Linked DNA regions of Oreochromis niloticus. The protein of the gene in region 1 purifies or fractionates together with the protein of each later gene. This does not show direct contact. Links are inferred from orthologs where the notes say so. Each region holds a gene or a part of one and is shown on either strand. Other genes may lie near its edges.

Region 1 (11,082 bases):
TGCAGTTCTTGCAGTTAATACGTTTAGGAGGCAATTTCTTTTTCACACATAGTCAGGAAGGTTTGGCTAACTCTGACTCTACTCTTTTCTTTTAAAACCATCATTTAAAAACAGCAATTTGTATTTACTCAGATTGTATTTGTGATATTAAAATTACTTTGATGATCTGACGCATGTAAATGTGACAAAAATCTAATTTAAAAAAAAGCTCAAGAACTCATGAACAGATGAGATGGATAATACTCTTTGCATTGATATAAAATGTGTAGATTACTGAATTCTGTACCTCAGATTGTATATTTTTCTTTTTGTACTCTTGCTACATTGTGGGCACCTTGCTCTGTCTACACAGTTACATTTTAGGGAACCAGCATCCTTTTCAATACAATAAACCTCATTTTATTTGATTCTGAAACCATGCTTTATGGTTTAAGGTTTAAGGGTAAAATAATGGCCACACCACTGTTAAGAAGGAATTTCATTGTCCAGGGAAAGACCACGAAGGACGGTGTTGCTTTCGAAAGCTTTTCCGTTGTAATTCCAGTAGATGGCGATGTGCGCCTACAAAACCTTCAGAAGCGTCACGACAGAGCCACCTTTCTGCTGTAGCGTTAACGCGCCATCATACAGTATATCAGAACGTGAGCACATTCCAGACAAAGCTGTTTAAACGTTCCCCGTATATGTAGCTACAACCTTCACAGCTCTGTCTTATGTAACACAGAGGGCCTCCTCTGTGAGGCCCTGATACCGTCCTGTTAATGGCAGCACACATGACACAAATAATTAATCACGTTTTTTTTGGGGGGGGGGGGGGGGGGGGGGGTTGTTATTTTAAGAGATGAATGTATAGACTATATCATAGACTATGTCAGTTCTGTGTCATTTCCAGGTGTAAGCACATACTTTACAAAGCTGTAATAAACACTATGTGGACAATCCGAGTGCTTTTTCATGACAGCCACAAACTTTTCCTAAATCCGCTCTCATTACCCATCCAAAACAAGCCACGCAACTTCTGAGGGATCCTCAGATGGCCACCGAAAGGTGGGAGGAATATTCATGGTTCTCGAGAAGACAACAGAAGATCGGAGAGAGGGAGAGAATGAGTGAGAGCGAGAGAGAGAAAGCCAGGCCTGCGAGTGTCTGTGGGAGGGGAAGGGGGCTCGTGGAGAGGAAAATCAAACCCACCCAGGGCTCTTCGTACGTCACCGTTCACATCACAGATGTTCCCACAGACACTCAGTGTGGGTTGTGGGCCGAGGCGTGTGGAGAGCCAGTATGGCTTGAAATTGACTTTTTTTTTTTTTTTTTTGTCTTTCTTCTTTTTTTGGACTGTGTGTGCCTGCATTGTAATATGTAGGCCTGCCTACTGCGTAAATGGAGACTTAAGCGCTGGAGTGATATTTAAAAGTACTCATTCTGAGAGTTGGAGCTGTATAAAAGTCATGAAAGCGGTGTGATGTTACATGGTCTGTTTCACTGCTCACAATTTATATATAACTGTACATATATAACTGCACACAAAACTGCTGAAATATAGGAAACAGGTACTGATCTCAGTGTACATCCCCTTGAATATAGGTTTCTTGATAATAATAATTACAACAACAAAAAGTCACAGAAAAAGGAGAACTTGTGTGGGCGAGCCCGGTTCTGTTTCCACGTCCAAACGGCAAAAAACAAGTGGAGTTGTTATTGATGGAAATTAAGTATTCAAATACGTGTCAAGTTAAAAGAGAATACGGGCTACCTCTCCAAAACAGCTTGAGGTGAGAGTGCGCGCACAAAACCGCAACCTTACCTCCTAGACTCTTTTGAAGTGGCTTTCGTGAGTACTGAGAGAGAGAAATCGCGTTTTTACGCCCAACTGTCTTGATTATTTGTACGTCACCGAGTGTGTTCACAGGACAGAAATCCCCCTTCGGTTTTCCTGAGACCACTTCGTACACAGCTGCTCTCTCGGCCAGTAGTCACATGGTCAGGAAAGTTTTTCAAGACCTGGTTTCCGTGGAAGCTGAAGATAGTTCCCTACGCAACATTCAACCCACCACCTTATAGCACACACACACACACACATATATATATTTTTTTTAAACCAGTGGCATTTGAAAAGCTTAAAATGTTTAATGATTCATTCACATCCTCTTAACGCGGGACTTTTCCCCACTCTCGCTCTCTCTCCATCTTCTGAGATCCTGCTGCCGCACATATTTGGCCGCTGATGCGTCCCACCAGAATGTTGTCCTTGGCAGCGCGCACAGCCCCATCCATCCACACAGATGCTCCTGCGCGTTCCGTACGCCCACTCTCGCCTACTGCTCTGCCAACCGGCGTGGCATCTTGAGACGCCCCCGGCATTCCTGAAGGTACTAAGTCACTGTCACTTCCCGTCGTGTGCGATCTTTCAATTACACTGACACCTAAAAAATGCTGCAACAACTTTGAGGCTCGAGCGCCACCAATAGGTGGCTAGCGTACGAGTTTAAGAATCTTCATTTATTATATTAAAAAAATAACAATATTAAAAAGCACCACGATCACAGCCGTTTTATTACTGCTTCCTGTTATCACGCCAAGCTCTTGTTTAGCTTGTTTAGCTGATAAGAGATAAGAGGATCGCACTTTGCTCTCTTCCCGTTTAAACACTTTATTTTACAATTGCACAATAACCAAAAGGAAATTCCGCCACCCTCATGAAGTTCGCAAATCTTATCGATACAGTATATAGAGGGAGTGAGGAGGAACCTGTTTGCGTTACCTGGGCGGGGGTTCCCAGAAATCCTCCCCTGTGACGAAGTAGTCACCAGTATGCCCATATATGGATAGCCCCTGCGTAATTAGGAAAGGCCTACATACGCAAGCTACGCTCTGTGCGTAAAAACACCGCAACCAGAATGTGCTTGTGTAAGAGTTCCTCACTGGGAGCTATAGTAACTGTTATGGTTACAGTATGGTAGGAAAGAAAACCTCGTTTGCTCTTCCCACTCTTTCCCGGTGCTGTTGTTGTTGTTGTTATTGTTATTCTAAATTATGTGTAGATGTGTGAAAACAAAAACGCTCAACTCCACCATTTCATTTTTCATTTTTGAGACACTTTACTTAAATATACAACACAATTTTAAAAAAAAAGAGACACTGTAAACATTGGACATCATCAGTTTGTCTGGATCAACCGGACACATGAAATAATTTACACAATGAATAAATGCAGCCAACAAACAAAAAACTAAACAAAGGGGGAAAAGGAAGATGGTACAAAGTAAAACAAATTATCGTTCCCATTTTCTACCATTAGTAAACCCGACTTATGGGCATGTGCGCCCACTGTGTTGCTCAGTGTCTGCTCAGTCTGGATGCTGCCCTGGATTCTAGGGTTGAATGGTCCTGTGAGGGGTGTCCAGCATCCGGAAGTACCATTACAATCAGTCTTTTCACCCTAAAATAGCCTTCAGTATCGTCCACACCTAGCCCTCGGCCCTGTGATGCTGACTACACACGAGCCGGTAATTCCAGTGCTGCGCATGCAGAACATGACTCCAGTGTTATCACTTTTCAGTCATTTTTTTTTTTCTTCTTAGTAGTCTCTGGTATTTTTAAAACGCCTCCAGCTTGCTTGTGAGCATCAGCTGGCAGCCGCTGCTCACGTGTGTCAGGACCTTCTGTTTGAGCTGAGCTACCTGATCCCGGAGGACCGACGCCGTGTTGGAGAGCCCCGCGTTGTCGTTCTTCAAAACTTTCACCTTCTCCTCCAGCCGGGCGATGCGCTCGAGCTTGCGCCTCCGGCATTTGGTAGCGGCTAGTCGGTTCCTCAGCCTCTTGCGCTCCGCCTTGATCCTCTCCTGGGTCTCCAGGTCAATCGGGGACATCGGAGGCGAGCCGTCACTGCTGAGCAGGTCGGGCACGGTCTGAGGCTCCTCTTTCAGAGCGACCAGCCGCTGCGGATGGAGTCCGGAGACGGGGAGGGTGTGCTGGAAAGCGTGCGCGCCGTGCGTCGAGCTCTGCTGGTGGTGGCTCTGCTGGTGCGGCGGCAGGTAGCTGATGGTGGCTGTGGGGTAGCTGGATGAGGAAGATAGGTTCGTGTTCGGGCAGTAGGCGTTCAGTGTTGTGTAGATGGGGGGCTCGGGCTGCAAGGCGGAGCCGAAGACGCTAGAGGCCGCCGGCGAACACGTCGTAACTCCACCGGCTCCGATGGACACGTTAGGGGGGGGCATCTGGTTCATCTTGTGGAGCTCGTCCAGTGCTTTCACAAAACCCTCAGCGAAGCCCTCCTGCTCATCGGTGATGCCCCGGTTGTAGAAGTACTGGCCCGGGGTGGGAGTGGTGATCACACCGTTACTGTTTTGGATGATGAGCTTCTCGAGCTCTGGGGATGCGAGCTTCAGGGACCCCACGTCTTGCTGGCCCCCTTGGTACAGGTCTGTCTCGGCCCTCAGCTGGGATTTCAGGTTGCGATAGGGCTCTGTCAAGTTCAAATTCATATTCTGCTTTAGCAGTTTGCAGTCGTGCATTGCCGCGTCTGAGTGGCCGTAAGCCGACAGAAAAGAGTCGTCATGATAAAAAGGCTGTTCCATCTTTGTAGACATAAAGTCGTAGGAAAAAAGTGAGCTTACCGGCCGCTTACAGAAACACAGTCTCTGGGTAATCAACAAAAGTCAGTGTCAGCAGAGAGCATGCATCAAATCGGGCACTTGTAGTCTCTCTTAAACAGTGTTTCCAAATTTCAAAAAATGAAAATCACTCGAGGATGAAGAGCAAAGGAAACAAACTAGTGAAAGTCCAGCAAGAGTTCAGTATCAGCGGATTTCAAAAGTCTTTCCCGGAGCCTGTTTGCTGTGGTTTTTTCCTTCAAAATCCTGTGAAACAAAAACTTCTTTCTCGCAATTCCTATTTGCCGCTGTGTTTGTCTTGGTGCTTGCTGAGGTGTGTTCAGGCGGGTTCATGTGCGCCGTTTTATATAGGGTGCTTCGCTGTCATTGGACAGAGTGTGTGTCTCCGCGCCCATCGAGTGCGTCGTCAAGTGACGCTAATGCCGGGAAGAGGCGACTGTAAACAAGCCTGTAGGCAAGAGAGCGCTCCGAGGAGGGCTCGCAGCGGAGACCAATGTCAGAAATAGAAAAGTCCGACGTATTTATGCACGACTTTGCGCGTTTATGGGCTGAATAAATGGTTGTTGGGTAAGCGAGGAGGTGAGATTATTCCGTTAGAGCAAATCGCTGCTTTTCTAATTCATTTGTAGGTTCTTTAATGTGTCTTAAAACTGCGTTAAATGCGCCGGTTTGGGTTCATTTTATGTCATTATAGCTTCATGGGATGCCCATTAGTTCACGCGCAATCTGTTGTTGGATCCATTGGGTATGAAATATACAACAAACATCAGCTGTTTACTGCAATCGGTCCCATGGAGGAAGTCGAGACTCCTTATATGGGCACACTGACGTATAAGTTCCTCTTCTGGACAACCGGGAAGCCAGGCCCACTCCAGGCCTCATTCCAGCAGCATTCCTGCTCCTGTCTAAATCCATGTGGCTAGGCAAGTTAGGGACTTTCTGCCTCAGACAATAAGTTCAGTTCTTCTAGAAAAATAACATTCATTATTTTATATGAACCATCTTAAAACATGAAAATACACATCCTAACTTGTGTTAATATTCATATATTTTTTCGGGGGGGTTCACAGGTATTGACATGATATATTCAAATGACTTGACTGCTCCACTTCTAAGTGACGCCTGAAAGCACACAGCAGTGACACACATCAGCGGAGCAGAAAACTGTGATCAGCCACAGAGCAAACACTTCCTCCTGTAGTAATCTGATAGGATGCTGATGTTGGCCATGTCGCCTGAAGTAAACAGCTTTGATCATGAAATAGAGGAAACTGAGGAAATTCTGTCCAACACAGCCAAAGAGGGGGGATTACACCGGGCAAGATTCACAAATAGTGTTTTACCCTTTTGATGTCAGAAGGCCATTAAAAAAAAAACCAAACAAAAACACCCTTTTTTTCTTTCTTTTGTTTAGATTTACATGTAGAGTTACTGTGATTTGCTCGGTAGGATCGTAGCGTTGAGAGAAAAGAAATATGATTCCTCAATAGAGCACCTGTCTCAGTAGCGGAGAAGGAAACCTTTGTCTCCTGTTTGTACTTCTTCCAACGCCCACACAATCAAGCACCACTGCCTTCACTACTGTATCCCACATCCCTCTACACACAAATCAAGTCAGGTAGGATGCTTTGCAAAATCCTCTGGCTGTTCCTGAGGGATGAATCTCTGGTCTTGTGTACTGAAGACAAGGCCGTGGCAGAATGTATATTACAATAACAGAAGCATATAACAAAAACTGGCTCTCGAATCTTCATTAACATGTGCAGATGATCAGTGTGACAAACCGCCTATAACCCTATCAAATATTCACACCACCCACCATGCTCCAGATGTGTTCCCATTAAAAGGATTATAAAATAGATATTACTTAACAATTAATAAAGGCAGGTATTGTTACAGTGATTTTTATGCCTTTGCAGTGACAGCAACCATGACTGCAGGTGTTATGCTTCCAGATTATTGCTAAATCTGTAGACTTGTTCCACCCATTCTCGCGAACTTGTCTCCTGAAGTGCTTCGAGGAAGTTTCTTCAAACTTGGCACAAACATCCATTTGGACTCAAGGTTCACCTGATTTGAATTAGGCAATGTCGCAAAAACACAGTCTTAGCCAAAACTCAAGAATTCTAAGGCGAAATATTAAATGGCACACAAATGTCTGATGGGATGCAATTCTGACATTAATTTCTAAAAGGTCAGAGGTCAGCCTCAGTGTGAGATCATAATCTGGAATCTTTCAGTTTCCTGATTCAGGAACAGAAAGGGAGACTGCAACTACATTTCAGATTTGGTCAGATATTCAGACGTGGATGTGAAGTTTGGTGCCAAAAGTGTCAAATTCCTTTGAATATGTTACTGTTTCTATGTGCTTGGACAGACCTGAATTTAAACTGAAACTTGACTTGTTAAAAGAGACATACAACCACAACACACTTATTTTTTTTGCATTTTTACATCTACCAGGCAGCAACCTCAAGGGCTCAGAAAGAATGACAGTGCAGAAATGCAGTTCCTTTAATGGCCACTTGAGGCGCTTTCTAAAAGTGAGCCAATCTCCATAAACCTCCATGTTAAAATACCAACTTACAACATTAAAAACCATCGTGGTATAACAAAGGTCACTGGTCTTTATGGAGACTTTCCACATAAATAACATCTGTACTGTTAAGTTTTTTCATAACGCATCCATTTGCATTATGAAAGTTGTGACAGCTGCTAGCATGTGCAGCTTTAGCTAACAGCTTTCTTGTGTTCGCTGTTCGTGTCATTTTAAAGGAGTTTTAATGGAACTGTCTGATAAATAATATTGCCTTCTGTAAGGTAAGGACCGTGCAAGGTTTTGGTAAGAAAAATAATAGCATTTTAATTGTTCATATCAGCAGTTTGCTAACCAAGTGAGCTAGCTTTAGCAGCTCACGTTGAATTTGAGAAATGTTTATCTTGGGACGCACCCACTGTGCGTCACAAGGGTTTTTTTCAACCGTTTTTTTTTTCACTTGAAGTGACCGAATGTCATTGACTTTCTGTGGTCTCAGGTTTCCAGTTAGCTGCTAGTCACTTCCTGTGTGGACACACTCAGCTTTAAGCTGAGACTTTAACAGGCGGTCTAAAATCAGTGATCTGTGACTACAATCTGGAAAAGGTGGATGTTTCACCCATTTATCCATCGTAGTAAGATAGCTGTTTCTATTTATTGTTATTTAATAAATGTATAGATTTGTATCTATATAGAACAGTTTATGCCTCACATTAACACAAACCTTTATTATTGCTATTATCAACCATTTGCTTACTCTTACTCTTATCACTTTTCCCTCCATTCATTTGCTTCCGCTTATCCGCTTCAGGGTCACAGGGAGGCTGGAGCCTACTCCAGCTGTTAAAGGGAGAGAGGTAGGGTCCACCTGGAGAGGTCCCAAATCTGTCACAGGGCCAAAACAAAGACATAGACAACCATTCGCACTCACTTTCACACCTACAGCCCATTTTGAATCACCAGTTAACCTAACCCCATGCTTTTTTTTGGACTGTGAGTGGAAGCACCTGGAGACAGAACATCCAAACTCCCAGGGCCCCAGCCAGATGGTGGATTCAAACCCAGGACCTAATTGCTGTGAGGGGACGGCAAGCTAACCCCCGCTCTCAGTTTTCCATCTGTTAGTTAAAACAGAGTTAATTAGCCCAACTTTCCCACGAGCATGCCTGGAAAAGTATAAGTTTACACCTTGGTGGTTGAGGCTGTGCTGTATAACAAAAACAAAACCCAGCACAAGAATTACACAAGAGTACAGTCATATTTGTATATTTCAAAACAAGCACAGCCACACCTTTGATTATTTAATCTGTGACTTTCTCATCCGCAGAATCCACCTCTCAGTGTATTTCCGACCTGTGCCAGAGCAGGGGGAGGGGGGCTGAATCAAGCTTTCAACAGGTTTTCCCTTTGGGTATGAATAGTGACAGCCACCACCCTGTAATACTATGTATTTGCCTTTTAAAAACTCATTGTCAGTGGTGTTTAGGCCTAAAGCGGAGAGAGCTTTTAAACCTGTCACAGAAAGGAGAACGTTTACCGTTGACAGCCGTTTGCTATATTCTTGACATGACTGGGAAAGTTAACTGAAATCACCACTTTTAGGTTCTCCATGCCTGATTGTAATTACCTCATCTCAGGTAATTTGCTGGTATTCAGAACAACTATTTTAACTCTATGCCTTTTTGTGAGTATCCATGGGAATATGGCTAAACAGAGGAAAACAACAATTCCTGGCAGTGTCTTGCCTCCACTTTGCCACCTCCCTTATAAATTCTGTCCTCTGTGCAGCTGCCTGTTTCTGATGCTCTGCTCTTGCTTGGGTTTAGGTTTTATTCAGCACTGGGGTTTGAGGTTGACCACACTTCCAGTGACATTTTGGCACAGAACAACAGCACAGGGTCCAGAGCGGTGAGTGTTTACGGGAACACTCGTGAGGTGGCACCGTGCCATCTTGCCAAATGTTAGTCAAAAGCACTAATGTTTGCTAAGCAGTGGGAGAGACAAACGTGTGAATGTTGCGACAGATGTACGGCGTGTCTAATATGTGATTTTGCTTCTGCTCAGAACAATCTCTATTAATCACCACCTTCAATTATAAACAGAAGAGCTGCGAAATTTGGGTCGATTTAGCTCTAAGTGATGACGTGGTGATTAGTTGAAGGGAACCGGTTTCATCTTTTGCAAAAACAATAAAAATCGTTTTTAAAAAAACGTGTCCGACATCTTAGTCACATCTTGATTAGTCACATCTCTGTTTAGTCTGTTAAGATTGTGTGTGTACTCTAGTATAGAAATACCTTCAAGTTCTGCTTTTTTTTTGTACAGGAGTTCTACTAATACCCGAAACCAGCCCTAAGATTTAGTGTTCATATTTTTTTTATGCATATTTTTGGGCAAACTTTCAAAGAGTTCCAGGGCAGGACGAGCTGCTTGGCAACAGACTCAGTTTAAACAGTCAGGATCACATGGATGACTGCCAAAACCAACTGAGTGTTACCTGCTCGGGATCCTGGGTGAGTTTGGGAAAGGCAAAGCCTGAGGGTGGGAGGAAGCTGTTTACGGTAAGAATAAGAAAAGTGTATGTGTCTTAAGTATGTGTGTGTGTGTGTGTGTGTGTGAACAAGCACGTATATCACTCGGGGTGGAGTATGAGTGTGTGGTGTTTTTTTAACCACAATGTGAACATCTGCAAGAAGGGAGGATATAACAAAGACTAAAGTGTTCGCAGTGAAAATGTTCAGATTTGTGATTTTGATTCAAAGTCATTTTTGCATTTGAAATATTTTATTCAGTAGATGTGTATCTATGCAGATTTCTAGATATATTTTTGCATTATTAGTGCACAGACACATAGCATCATCAATTCTTACCTTGGATAATCCCTGTAATTTCTTCACCCTATAAACTCTGTCCTTCAACAGAGCAGGCTTTCACAATAAGCCTACTTATTGTGAGGACTGAGCTCTCCTCACCTCCTCCTCTCAAACTGTCCCATTGTCCCTCGCCACCTCTGCACAACTCTCCTTTTGTCAGAGCCGGGCTGCCAGCCTACTTGCCGTCTGCTTCTCCACAACGTGTTGTCCTTTTGGTTGGGCGAGATGGCTCCGTCTATGTGACTCACAGAAGCTAGGGCAGCAGGGGAGGGGGGGTGGTGGCAATCAGAGGTCAAAGCCCCAAGCTCGCTCCACACTTTAGAGTCTTTCTCTGACCTTCAAAACTTCGCAAAAACACCCACTCAGCAGAAAAAGAGTCGGGGTTAGCGCGAGAGTGGAAGGGCAAGGGGAAAGAGAAAGACGGGCTCAGTCAAATGAGGTTTGTTTGTGAGGTGCCCTCTTGACAAAGCAGCTGACTCCTTCCTCTGGACATAATGGGGCCTCTCATCCAAGGCGATGCTCTAATCTGTTGTGACTATGGTCACTTCACTGCCAGGTCTATTAATAGAGTGATCCATCATCATCATCATTTGCATCATCATCAACATCACATGATGGCCCGATGATGTTTTCCTCCTCTTCACTCTGTCAACCCCAAATGGCCTGTTTTGATCTATTAATGGTTCATCTTCAACCTTTTCAAGAGCCACTAATTTGAAGGCTAGAGTTCATGAACTTTTTAACGGAGGATGCATCACTGCGTCCAACGCTGCCTGGCAGCTTCAATAAAAGATCGAGGTTTTGCAACATATCATTATTTTTAGAGAACTTGTGTAAAATTATACAGCATTTTTCTTTAGATTATTTAGTTTAATTTCACATAACAGACCAATATGAAGCCCTGTGATAGACAGGCAACCCAGTGTACCTCCATGTTTCACCCTGTGACAGCAGGAATAGGCTCCAGTCCAGATGGATGGATATTAAACCAACAGTGAGAAACTAAATACAAAGCTCGTTCAGTCGTCAAATAAATTACTGTTGTACTATTCCTGTACTATTC
Region 2 (12,107 bases), on another chromosome or scaffold:
TGGAGGCAAGAAAGTGACTTTTTTAATAAGACACGGTTGCAGTAGGGAAGCTTTTACTGAACAGAAGCATGAATGAGGTGTGAGTTAATATGCAGTCTGAACCACAAATTGCAGAGAGTTTACTGTTTAACTGAGGGTTTAAAAAGTAGGCTTTGCTTCTCTAGACTGCTGCACATGGGTTTACGAATTCTTCTATGGTTTTCACTTTCTCTTCCACTGAGAGCAAACTCTCACAATGAGAAACTCACTCTTATTCACATTCCTTTCTGTCATAGTGAAACCCATCCTCTGTCTTGTTTTCTTTATCAGCCGACATCAGGAACTGTCTTGGAGATTAAGTAGGAGTCCAGGATGTGAACTGTAAGCAGGATAGAAGGTGAAAGTGAGAGTTTTGTGGCGAAATCCTGCGGTGCCCTTATTTACAACTTGTAAGAAGAACTGGGGTTTTTTTTTTTAGGTTAAACTGAATAGAAACAAAATGATTTATTATCACAAGGGAAAGTTATGGTTAACTGGCCAAAGACCCACTTACATATTATACGTCACCCTATGTTCTTTCACAGATTCATGTATTTATTTCCATGTGTTTTTGTGTCTGTTTACACCAGATTTATTTAGAAATCAGCTAAAATTTACTGTTTATCTTTTTATTTAGCTTTTTTAAGTCCGCCTGTTTGCCATTATTAGATTTTATATTTTAAAAGGTATGAATTTTTTGAAGTTTGACATTAAGAAAGTCGATCTGATAAACTGTATTTTCCTTTTTAAAAGCTGCCCAAAGAGCCTGCTCCTCCATACTGTATGTGGATATGAGCACACGTAGCTCTTTGGCATGAAACAGTTGAAACATAAAAATAGAGAATGCAATATTTAGCTGAGGAGGGTTAGCAGTCCGATCATATGGTATTAATAAGCGACAGTGTCAGCAATGACTTCATGTCGCAGCATCAATCTGGATGACCACACTGACCTCATAAACTTTTCAACACCCGTCTGGCTGCTCGCAGAGAAAGACAGAGGAGTGGAAGTGCGAGCGTGAGCATTTGTGCCATTCAGCTCGAGCATTTTGATGATTGTCTGGCGTCCTAAAAATAAAAACTACAACTCCAAGCGTGTCAGCTTTTAATTAGATGCAGTGTAACATGGATGTATTTTGAGGCGAGGTCAAGCATGCGCCACAGTAAATCTGTGAGGTGATAATCAGCACAGGTAGCATTTCTAAAAGGGGGACTCACAGTCGGCACTGTTAACTAATCACACGGTTTAAAATCAGAGCTGGAAACAAACGACACTGAACTTCATATGTTGAGTATTCTCTGGCAGATTCAAGACTCAGACAAGTTGATAGAAATTCAACTAAACTAGATGTGAAAATAGCTCAACTAAAAAATATTTTAGTAAAAAAACAACAAGTTAACCCAAAAAAGTCAAAAATACAGAGTAACTGTCTTTAGTTTTTCACATTTTTAAATAAAAATATGGAGAGCAGTTTGAAAAATAACCTATAACATCTCTATTTGTGAAAATTGTATATATATATATATATATATATATACATATATATATATATATATATATATATGAATGACTGTGATGTTCTGCTCTTACGTTAGTTGTCTGGACTGGTGACCTTTTAAAGGAAGTTGTCAGCTGTAAAAGATCAAATATGTTTCTTTGGAAAACCCTCTGATGCATTTATGTTGGAAACACCTCCCTCCTCCCGAGCACCTTTCCAACGTCAGGCTGAGGAAGGGGAGTGCTGTAACTTTCCAGAACAGCGTGCACACAGCGTGCACACCCGGGCCTGAAGTTCTCCATCTGGGGCTCTGAGCTATGAGACATCACATACGATAGGACATAAACATATTTTGAAAGGTGGATAACCAGAGCTGGTGGGAGTTTGCAAAAGGTGTTGCAAAATCCGAGGCCGCACATTCCACTGAATTTATTCACTTTGACAGCAACAAACTCAAAATGTGCGAAAACACTTTTCTGGGTTTTTTTTTGCTTTTGTCAAGATAAAAGAAGAAAATCATCTTTATTAATAGGTTTTGTTGGTTGGCATCTGTGCTTTTTATTATAAGATTTGCTGTGAATTAAGAATAAAAATATATAAAATTGAAAATTTCCAAGTGAAATGAAATCATCACTACAAGCTTAATGTTTTAAAACCATCTAAACAGTATTAATATAACCAGTTAAACGGAAAAAACTAAACTGAAACAAGCATACCTACTCTATGAGTTAACTGAAACTACACTGAATGAAAGCATACATTGAGTCTCTGCATGACTCACTGTTATAAATGTAAGTGATGGTTAATTCAGACCATGTGACTCTTTATGAGGTTCAGTACTGGACGTCATATCATTTCCTTTGGCTAAATTCAGACGAAACTTGCCACCGGGTCGTAGGTCACGCTGAACAGATTCTGCCACCTGCTGCTTCTCGGCCTGAAAATTTCAAGCTGGTTGCAAAATATCTTGAAATCTGATTTAATTAAAACCTAAATTTTGAGCACCACATTGTGAGACTAATGCAGTCATGCTTTTACCATCTTAGAAATTAAAAAAAGATGTAATTTAAGATTTAAAGATGTGCTTTCACATGTGCCAGCTGTAAAAGATTAAATTAAATATGCCTGGAATGGAAATCCATATGCCTCTGATTTGTCTGGAACAACTTATGTTTTCTTTCTTTGAGTGAGTGAGTATTCTTCTTTGGAAGAGCTTTTTAGGATCCTAAGTTTGCTTTGGAAACCCCCTCCCCTATCCTTTGTGATATCTGTTTGGGCGGGAGTTCTGAGTCTGAGCATTTTTCCAACTTTCCAAACAGCAGTCACTCTGCATTTATGTTTTCCAACTGGACCAAAACTAAAAGCACAAAATCAAGCCATGTGACTGTGAGTTAGCACATACCTTACATGTCACATGCACAGGAAACATAGGCAACGCATTGAAGAATTCAAGGGCATAAGTCAATGAAGTCACTTTCATTTAGTCTGAGGCCGACAAAAAGCGTCTGTGGTATGTTTTTATTTATGAGAATATTTATGCTGGGTTAAATTAAACTAAAATAATTTTTTATTAGAATTTGTTTTTAAACTATTTCATGGTTTCAGATTTACAGCTTGGGGAAAGAGCAGATCTTTTCTTTCAGTTCCTGGCAAAGAGAAATATTTCCCTTGTTCAACTCGGCCTTCAAACTCACCGTCTAAAAATGGAGAAAACACCTCAGCAGGTCACCACTACATAACCTTCTTTGTGAGTGAGTGTTTTTTCAGAGGTTTACATAAGGCCAGAAGTTTAGCAGTGGAAACTCATTTGTTTGATTATTAACCATTTTATGGCTTTTACAAATGGGTGGGATTCACCATGACAGCATAGTGACATGAATTTCTATATCAGTCATGGCAGTCATCGTTCGTGTGGCAAGTCATGTCTCCTTGGCTTCATTTCAGGTAAAGTTATGAAAAGATGAGATGCAAACATGATGACCACTCGATTTTGACATTTCATAATTTCATGAAATAGTGAAGCAATATTGTTTCTGAGAAAGTCTCGAATTGGCAAAACTGAAAGTCAGATTTGCTGGTACATTCAGAGAAACTGGGAGTTTCAAAATTACAAAACTGAGAGGGAATTATACTGAAAATGGCAGGAAATGAGAAAAAGAAGGAAAAGATAGCAAGACTACAAGGAAATCGCAGGGAAAGAACCTTTTCTTCAGTGTGAAATCACTCAAACAAATAAAAAAAACCTATGACACTTACAAGTTAAGCACATAAACTGTAGTAGAGGTCACCAAGATGCCCAAAAGCTTGCATCTTCTAATCAGAATTAAAACATCCGCATGAATCAGGTCACTTAACATCTAGTAGAGGCAGGATTTTACAAAACTGCAGAGCTGTTGTTGCATGGTTCGTGTTAGATAACGGTCTATCAGGAAATTATTGCATCATGTACGCATTCCGGAAAAAGTTGAGCTGAGTTTGTTTTCTGCTTTGACAGGATATGTAGGCATCATAACAGACACACACAAAAAAAATAAGGTTGTTCTGTTTTCTGACAGAAATATTTGAGACGAAACAATCTGTTTCTTTTCTTTTCTTTTCTTTTTTGGAATGATTCTGAGTTGCTTGTAAATTGAAAATAATAAAAGCTGCAAACAGGATGACGTCGGCTTGCTCTGCTTGTCTTTGCTAGATATGTGCTTTGAAGCCATGCTGCTTTCTGCTTTATGGCTGCACATTAAAACAGCCCCACATAAACAGCTGCACCTGATGTGGGTCAGCCCATATGGAAAAAAATAAAATAAAATAAACATGCGTTTCATAAACCATCCTCTTTTGCAGTTTTTGACAATTCAGTAAGCATAAAATAAACATTATGTTACAGTAGCAGAGTTTTCTAGATAAGGTAAAACCCTTTAAAATGTATTTTCCTTTAATCTGACTGCTAGGACAAGGACATTACTGCCAGTGCTGAAGTCGCAGGTGTAATTTTGACACTATTATCGGGTAATAAATTAATCAATAATACATAAAAAGTGGTGTGAAAGACTGCTAATAATGCCGATTACTATGTCTGAATATTATTAACAGATGCTTACTAGTTGCATGTGTCCACAGCTGCCACAACTTACAATTTAAATTTAGATGTTAAATAGTGAAAATTCGCACATATTTTTGTATTCTGAAGCCAAAAACCAACATTCTCACAGTTAGGAAATCTGTGTCAGCAGTCGAGTAAACAAGATCATCTGATTACGACTAATCAAGAAAATCCCTGCATGTTGATTACATTTACTGTCAGTCTACAAATCTGTGACACACACACATGTAAAAACACACGTAGTTCAGAAATGAAACCATGCAGAAAGTTTTCTTTACCTGTCCTCACAGGTACATATCATCATATCATCAGACAGGAAAAGGAAAATATTTCATTATAATCCTTCCATCCATCCATGCAAAGATCCATATCTGTCTGCATGTCTGTCTAACCTCTTTTATACCCCAGCTGGTGAGTGTGGTGTAACCGCACAATAAATAACCGTCCGGTGTCACTCAGCCTGAACGGCCTTATTCACTCGTTAGTGTGGAATGCCTGGAATGGAAATCCATGTCAGTGTCAAAACTGAGAGAGATGACAGAGAGGGAAGGGAAGCGTGTGAAGAGGTGCTGCTTATGGAAACAATAATGGAGGGGAAAGAGGAATAATAAGATGGGGCTGCTTAGTACAAGACGGGACAAGTGTATGGGAGTGAAAAAAGTGGAGGAAAGAGAGACAAGAGAAATAAGATAAAAGAAGCAGAAGAACGAGGGCAAAAGACTTCGGATGAATAGAAGAAGGAAAGATGTAAAAGTACTATGATGAAGGAATATAAAAACATGGATAATTAAGAAAAAAGTATCAAAGTAAATACTGGGAAAAAGTGAGCAGAAAGAAACTGGAAATATAATGATGGAGGAGTGAAAAAGGAAAAGACGTGAAGGTGTTTAGTAGAAAACAGGAGACAAAGTGAAAAGGGAATAAAAGAAACTGCATTTTTAAAAAGAAAAAGATCAAACAGGTTAAACTGGTTATCTGTAAATACCATCAACCTACCAGGTGTCGCAGAGAAAAATTAGCCCGTATTTCTAAATTTGGTCATTTTACGAGACAATAACAGAGAAAAAGATTCAAGTGATTAGTGGAAATGTGTGTGCAGGAGGTACAGCAAAGGGTGGAGAAGAGACAACTGGAAATAGGATGAAAGAGATTAGATGGGAGGGAAGATAAGAGAAAAACATGTTGTGAAAGTGGCAAAGAATAGAGGGATTTTGGGACGTAAATCATGGAAAATTTTTAAAAAGGCCAAAGCTGATGGGTGGGGATTAAAAAAGGAGGGAGATAGAAACTATACCAAAAAAGGAGGATTAGAGATGATGAATGAACTGTTGAAAAAAGAGACAAATATCAAAACATGAAAAACAAAAAAGGAAAAAAGATTAAAAGACTGGGAAAGGAATAAAGCGTTGGTGGGAAGAGGGTAGGAAGCAGAGAGAGGAGGAGGAGGAGAATGAGGAAAGAGAGCTGAAAATGTGAGGAACGAGAGGCAGAGGAGGAAAAAACATGAGGAGGAGGAGGGAGGGGGACGCCTGTCCTGTTATGGCAGAGAAGAACACTCGGCGTTGCTAGATTGCATCATCGCCGGATCAGCCTTCTAAAAATAGGATGACGTCACCCCTCCCTACTCTCAGGCTCCCAACCCTAGCGCTCTCTCTCTCGCTCTCTAGTAGCGTTGCGTCATGTGTCCCGCCCCTTCAACCAAGTTAAAAGCGCGAGGTGACGCAACGTAAAGGCCACAAGAGCAACCGTAGCCAACGAGCAGGAAGCGGACACAGAAAGAGCGAAACGCAAAGACATAAGAGAAGGTTTCTTTCTTCACGGCGCACTTCATCCGATCCGGACACTCACAGCTTTAACAGGTAGGCTGGAGATCTGTTTCCGGTGGAAGAGGACTGGGGTGTTTGAGCGTGTGTGTGAGGGGCAGAGAGGCGGTGTTGTCGCTCTTTGATCCCGGTGAGAAGCGCAGAGAGCCGGTGTCTCCGTGCGCTCCGTCCCGGGACACTGCGAAAACTTCCGCGCGTGTTTTTGCGTGAAAATATAAAATATATAAACAAGCGCATCTTTTTGGAGCAGTTTGCACTAACGATTTTTCTTTTCTTTTTTTTCATTTTATTTTAGCGTATTTTGTATTTATAAAAAACTTTTGAGATGTTTTTGTTTCAAATCTGACATCATGCGACGTTTTACTTGAATTCTGCTTGAATGCATGTAGTTATACTTTTTTGTAACTTATTTATAATCAGGTATTTCGGATTTTTGCACTGGTTTCCTCGCTTTTGACGAGACTTTTAATATCGTTGTTTCTTCTTTTTTTCTTCTTTTCTTTTGAGCTAACTCTATAATAACAAAACCAAAACAAACACATGAATAGCCAAAATTCTCTTTTATAATTACCTGAACACATAATAACGAAACTGAAGGGAACAGAGGGAGGCGGTGGTAAAATATTTGTAGAGCTAACAAGACTTTTTAAAACTTTTTTTTTAATTCTAAGAAGGTGCAGCTGTGTGCAGACTAATACGAACCATTATCATTAATGACTTCGTTGCAAATGATTTATTACTGGAGAACATAAGAATATAATATAAATGTGCTTGTTTTGGTTTTGGTCTCAGAGCTGATGTAAACACTTCTTATCTGGCTGATGGCCATAATTCAACTCTTGTCACTTCTCTGTTTAGATAACAAACATCCACACCTCCCCAATTAATGAGCCTTTTTTACAGCATGTTTTCCACAAAGCAAATGTTTGCTTAGTTTTGAATGACACAGCCATTTGTCTTGTCATCACAATCTGTTTGTCCTCCTTAACATGCCATGTTGACCTTCCAACAAACCGATCTTAGCTTTGGTTTTCCTCCTGACATCTGTGTCTTTATTACTCAGCAAAAATCTGAAAATTCCTTTATTATTTTTGCCACATATTCAGATACTTTCTTGTGTTTGAGCCAGACAGTATAAATATGACTCCTTTATTTATCTTGTGACTTTCAGCATTGGTTTCATAGTGACTTTTTGTCCTAAGGACATTTTAGCTCTGGGCTCTTTTAAATTATATTAAGTGTTTCTGACCCACCTGACGATCTTCATCTCTTGCTTTTCCAGAATGATGCTTCAGCACTCGGGTCCTTCTCTGGCTGACATCAGCTGCTCCGCCTTGGTTCCCTGCCTCTCCCCTCCAGGCACACTCACCCTGGACGACTTCACCAACTTCACACCCATTGTGAAAGAGGAGCTCCGGCTGGCAATCCAGAGCAAGCGGTTGTCCAACGGGCTTAGCACCGACATGAGTTCTGATGGTGCCAGCTCCAGCTCGGATCGAGCCTCCGAGCTAACTTCATGCAGGAACGGAGTCAAGCGAGAGGTAAGGCAGAGGGGGAATTACAGCATGTAGTTATCTGTATTTTTGGATATGTTTTCTGTAATGTGTCTGTTTTTATATAGAGTTTTTTTTTCTTAATGGTTTATATTTCTCACTGGTTTTTTAGTTGACATCTGAGGAGCATGAAAGGAGGAAAAGGAGGAGGGAGAGAAACAAAATCGCTGCTGCCAAGTGCCGCAACAAGAAGAAGGAAAAGACTGAATCACTCCAGAAGGTAGTTTTCCACTTTCATCAATATGAGCATAGGTTATTCTGCACCTACTCTTAGCTTTTTGCACCCTCACAGTTAGACAATTTATAAAGCTCAACATTCCCAGCTTGCAGTGAGAAGTAGCTTATGTTTCTCGGGTGAATAACAGTCTCCTTCTTCCATCCTTCTCCACAGGAGTCTGAGAAGCTCGAGAGCATCAATGCCGACTTAAAAGCTCAGATTGAGGAGCTGAAGCAGCAGAAGCAGCAGCTGGTCTACATGCTCAATCTGCACCGGCCGACGTGCATCGTCCGAGCCCAGAACCCCCAGACCCCCGAGGACGAGCGAAACCTTTTCATCCAGCACATCAAGGAGAGCACCTTACAACTCCACGACCTCACCTCCACCACCACCTCATCCGCATCCACGTCCACAGCAGCGCCTCTCGGCGGAGGACTTCTGACTCTCGATCACGTCCAGTGCCCCAGTCACTTATGATCTCCCAGAGTGTTATCTAGGGCTTGCAATTCTTCCATCTCCTGCTGCTGATGTAGGACTGACTGGTTTCGCAGGAGGTGGAGTTGCCACATACAGACTTATGACCTGAGAATGAAACACCACCTGTGACTCCTCACACTCACCTGCCGCCCATAATGCTGCTAGAGAAAGAGAGAGTGGTGTAAAGCGACCTCAGCACCTTCCACTCCCTGAACCCGTAGCTGCTGATTGGACAGGAGTGAGAAATGATGGACAGCACTTTGACTTGCATTATGTTTCGTTTTTTTAAACATTTTAAACAGTCAGGGCCAAGAACAGATGCTAAAGCACTTAAACAAAATTCAACAGCTTTTCTTGATTTATTAGTATTTTAAATAGTCGATGGTCTGATTTTTGTACCAAAGCGCGATTTCAAGGTGATCAAGGCACATTATTTAAGAGTTCACCCCGAGAGAAAGGAGATTCAGTGTGAGTGTGTACAGATGCAAGTCACTGACTTTAAAAAGAAGCGGTCTCTGTTTAGTGTACAGCAAAGATTACATATTTATTAAATGACTACTGTATGTTAGGATGTTGCTGTTTTAACCCTGTTTGCTTGTCCTGTATACAAAGTGAATTACTAAAAACGCTGCTGCTACTAACCACTCAGGACCTAGGTATGCTGTAGACGTCAGTTTTGTTATACATAATACGAGATGACTCGTCCAAAAGCGTGAGTACGGGTCAGGTTCCTTGCTGTGAGTGTAGCAGACACAAAAGGGAAATGTACTTTGCAGGCAGGGTTTCTAATTCTGCACTTACTGAAAAAAGCCTAGTACAAAAGACAGTGTAATCACATGTATAGATAAGTGTTTTGTTTTGTTTTTCTTAAGAATTCAATATTTTCTGGCAATCACAGTTGCCCAATGGACACTTTATTTATCACTGTGTTCTCTCTTAAAGCAAAGGGGATTTTTTTTTAACCTGTTCTGTGACAATGAAGCTACACAAGTGTTATTTTACAGATGTGTTTTCTACCCAATGTCTTGTATAACGTATCAAATGCATATTAACTACGTGCTGCTGTATGTAAACACCAATGCCTCCTTTGGTCTCAACAGAGCAAAAACAAAAGTTATTTTTTTAAAAATGTATTTATTGAAAACATTTGGTCCAGATGTTGTGTTCATTAGATATCATTAGCTAGGTATCAGAAGCGCTGCATCAGTTTACTCTGAAGTTATGCAAGATTTGGTGACATGTTAGAATCTAAGTGTGTCGTGAACTTCCGCTATTTGAAAACCCATTGCCAAAATAGTTGTCGTTCACTTGCACACCCTTTTCTATTCTCTGACCTTTAAAGTTTAGAGTAAAAAAATGGCCCAAGGAAAAAAGCAGTTTATTGCGCAAACAGAAATTTGAGAAGCACGATGATTGCTGTTTGTCATTTTTTGGCAGTAAAATAAAGCCAAACATGAGATCAGAAGCCCTTTCTTCCTGAGCGACACCCTAACACTCTAACTTCTCCTTCAGTTACCCAATCGCTAATCAAACTGAAACTCTGATGTACAAACTGCCAAGCAAAGGATGAGTACATACCAGAAGGGGTTTCCTTTGACAGGACATTATGATAATGAATTTTGTAGACTGAAGTTGTATTCCTCTGTTAGAAGGTTTATATTGTTGTATGTGTTGTGCGAGAGTCACATTGTTAAAGGGACGCAGGCGTCTTTGTGGTCATAGTGCTTTTGTCACCTGTTGTCCCGATGCTAGTCATTACTAGATAGTCACTGAGCACTGAGTGCATGTATTCATATTGTGCCTATTTCTACTACTGAAGACTTTTTTTTTTCTCTATAGCTGTGTCATAGCAGAAATAAATAAAGGATGTCAGGTACAACTGCACTGCTACTATCACTGTGTAACTACTTCTCATCTCTGTTTTGATTTTGATACTTTGATAATTAAAGATGTGAACTGAAAATGAGACCTGTCAGATGCCTTTTTTTGGAAACGGACAGGTAAATGTGATTTGCACTGATGTGGAGATAATTATTATTTTTTTCACATCAGGAGTTTCTGGTAGAGAGCAGAATTCATGTTTCCATCATTACAGCAAGCCATTGGGGGGTCGTGAAACAGGACAGCAGTCCCAGACCGTCACCCTGACACCACCATGTTTGGCTGTCGTTTAATGAAATGCTGTGTTAGTTTCATACCAGACGTAACGGGACTCAAACCTTCCACAAAGTTCAGCTTTTGCCTCATCACAGTCCACGGAACATTTTCCCAAAGGTTTTAGGGATCATCAAAATGTTATTTGGCAAATGTGAGGCCTTTGTGTTCTTTTTGGTGCCATTTCTGTTCAGTCTCTTTCATATTGAGTCACAGCACTCTGACCTTAACTGAGGCAAGTGAGACCTGCAGTTCTTTAGATGTTGTTCTGTTATTTGTTTTTTGGTGATCTTCTGGACGAGTCATCAATACATCAAGTTCCAAAATTTCTTAATTTTATGGATGGTGGTCCCCAAAGCCTTACAATGGCTTTGTCACTCTGTCTAGACTGATAGATGTTAGTGACTGGTTATCTCATTCTAATATTATATTTTGTTTGATGATCTGAAACGTAACTGGGACAAAAATGCAAAAAAAAATAAATCATTATTAAAATATCAGTAGTACATAATAATAATAATGGTTAGAGCTTAATAAATGTGCAGCAATGATCGTAGCACTACAACCAAGCTCCATGAAGTTCAGTGGAAGAGGGCTGAGTAGCTGATTTCTTATGATAATCTTAAATTAAATTACGACATGATTATTGCTACAGTGAGCTCACATGATGCTAGTGGAAAAAAGCTGTGATAGTGCATTGATAACACTAAATAGAGCAGAAATACAGAAATATTAGTGCCTTGCTCTTCGCTGTTGGAGCTGTACAATATCTTATACCTATAGACTTTCTGCACTTATGAAAACATGTGCCATCTGATGCAACACATTGTAAAACAAATGTTTGCAATGCTTATCATCAATAATCACCACTTTCTGACAATGCAGTTGACCGGTCAGTTGCTTTGGATTGCATCAGATCCATTTTGAAACAATGATTTTCGTTTTGTAGCCATTAACCTGCTCACGTACGTCTCATGTTCTCCACGTCTGAAAATGACAACAGCAGAGCTAACAAAACTCATGCTTGATCTTTAGAAAACTAACTCTGCAGCTGTGAGCTTCTGTTTTACTTTAGGAACACAGTTACATCAGCACCGGGCCCACTCTCATTAAAATAAAGAGTGTGTTATGAATATCAGAAAAAATAACAGAGTTTCCTTGAAGGATACTCGGTTTTAAAAGCTTACATTCCCAGATGGGTACCAGGAAGCTGCTGTACTTCTATCACCATGTTTTTTTCCACAAGTGGAACGATTTCACAACATAAACG

The links.
Region 2: the proteins of junbb (region 1) and atf3 purify together in Homo sapiens (affinity purification with mass spectrometry; 3 studies listed by BioGRID and IntAct, counting the BioPlex papers as one, with this or other methods). This does not show direct contact. The link is inferred for Oreochromis niloticus from reciprocal best matches to the Homo sapiens genes JUNB and ATF3.

What each region holds. Positions count from the first base shown.
Region 1 is NC_031969.2:8,274,853-8,285,934, reverse strand, and holds junbb (junB proto-oncogene, AP-1 transcription factor subunit b), read right to left. Parts: upstream 4,942-11,082; 5' UTR 4,587-4,941; coding exon 3,597-4,586; 3' UTR 3,074-3,596; downstream 1-3,073. UniProt on the Homo sapiens protein: Transcription factor involved in regulating gene activity following the primary growth factor response. Binds to the DNA sequence 5'-TGA[GC]TCA-3'.
Region 2 is NC_031980.2:22,556,669-22,568,775, reverse strand, and holds atf3 (cyclic AMP-dependent transcription factor ATF-3), read left to right. Parts: upstream 1-6,314; 5' UTR 6,315-6,472; intron 6,473-7,718; 5' UTR 7,719-7,719; coding exon 7,720-7,977; intron 7,978-8,101; coding exon 8,102-8,209; intron 8,210-8,380; coding exon 8,381-8,683; 3' UTR 8,684-10,340; downstream 10,341-12,107.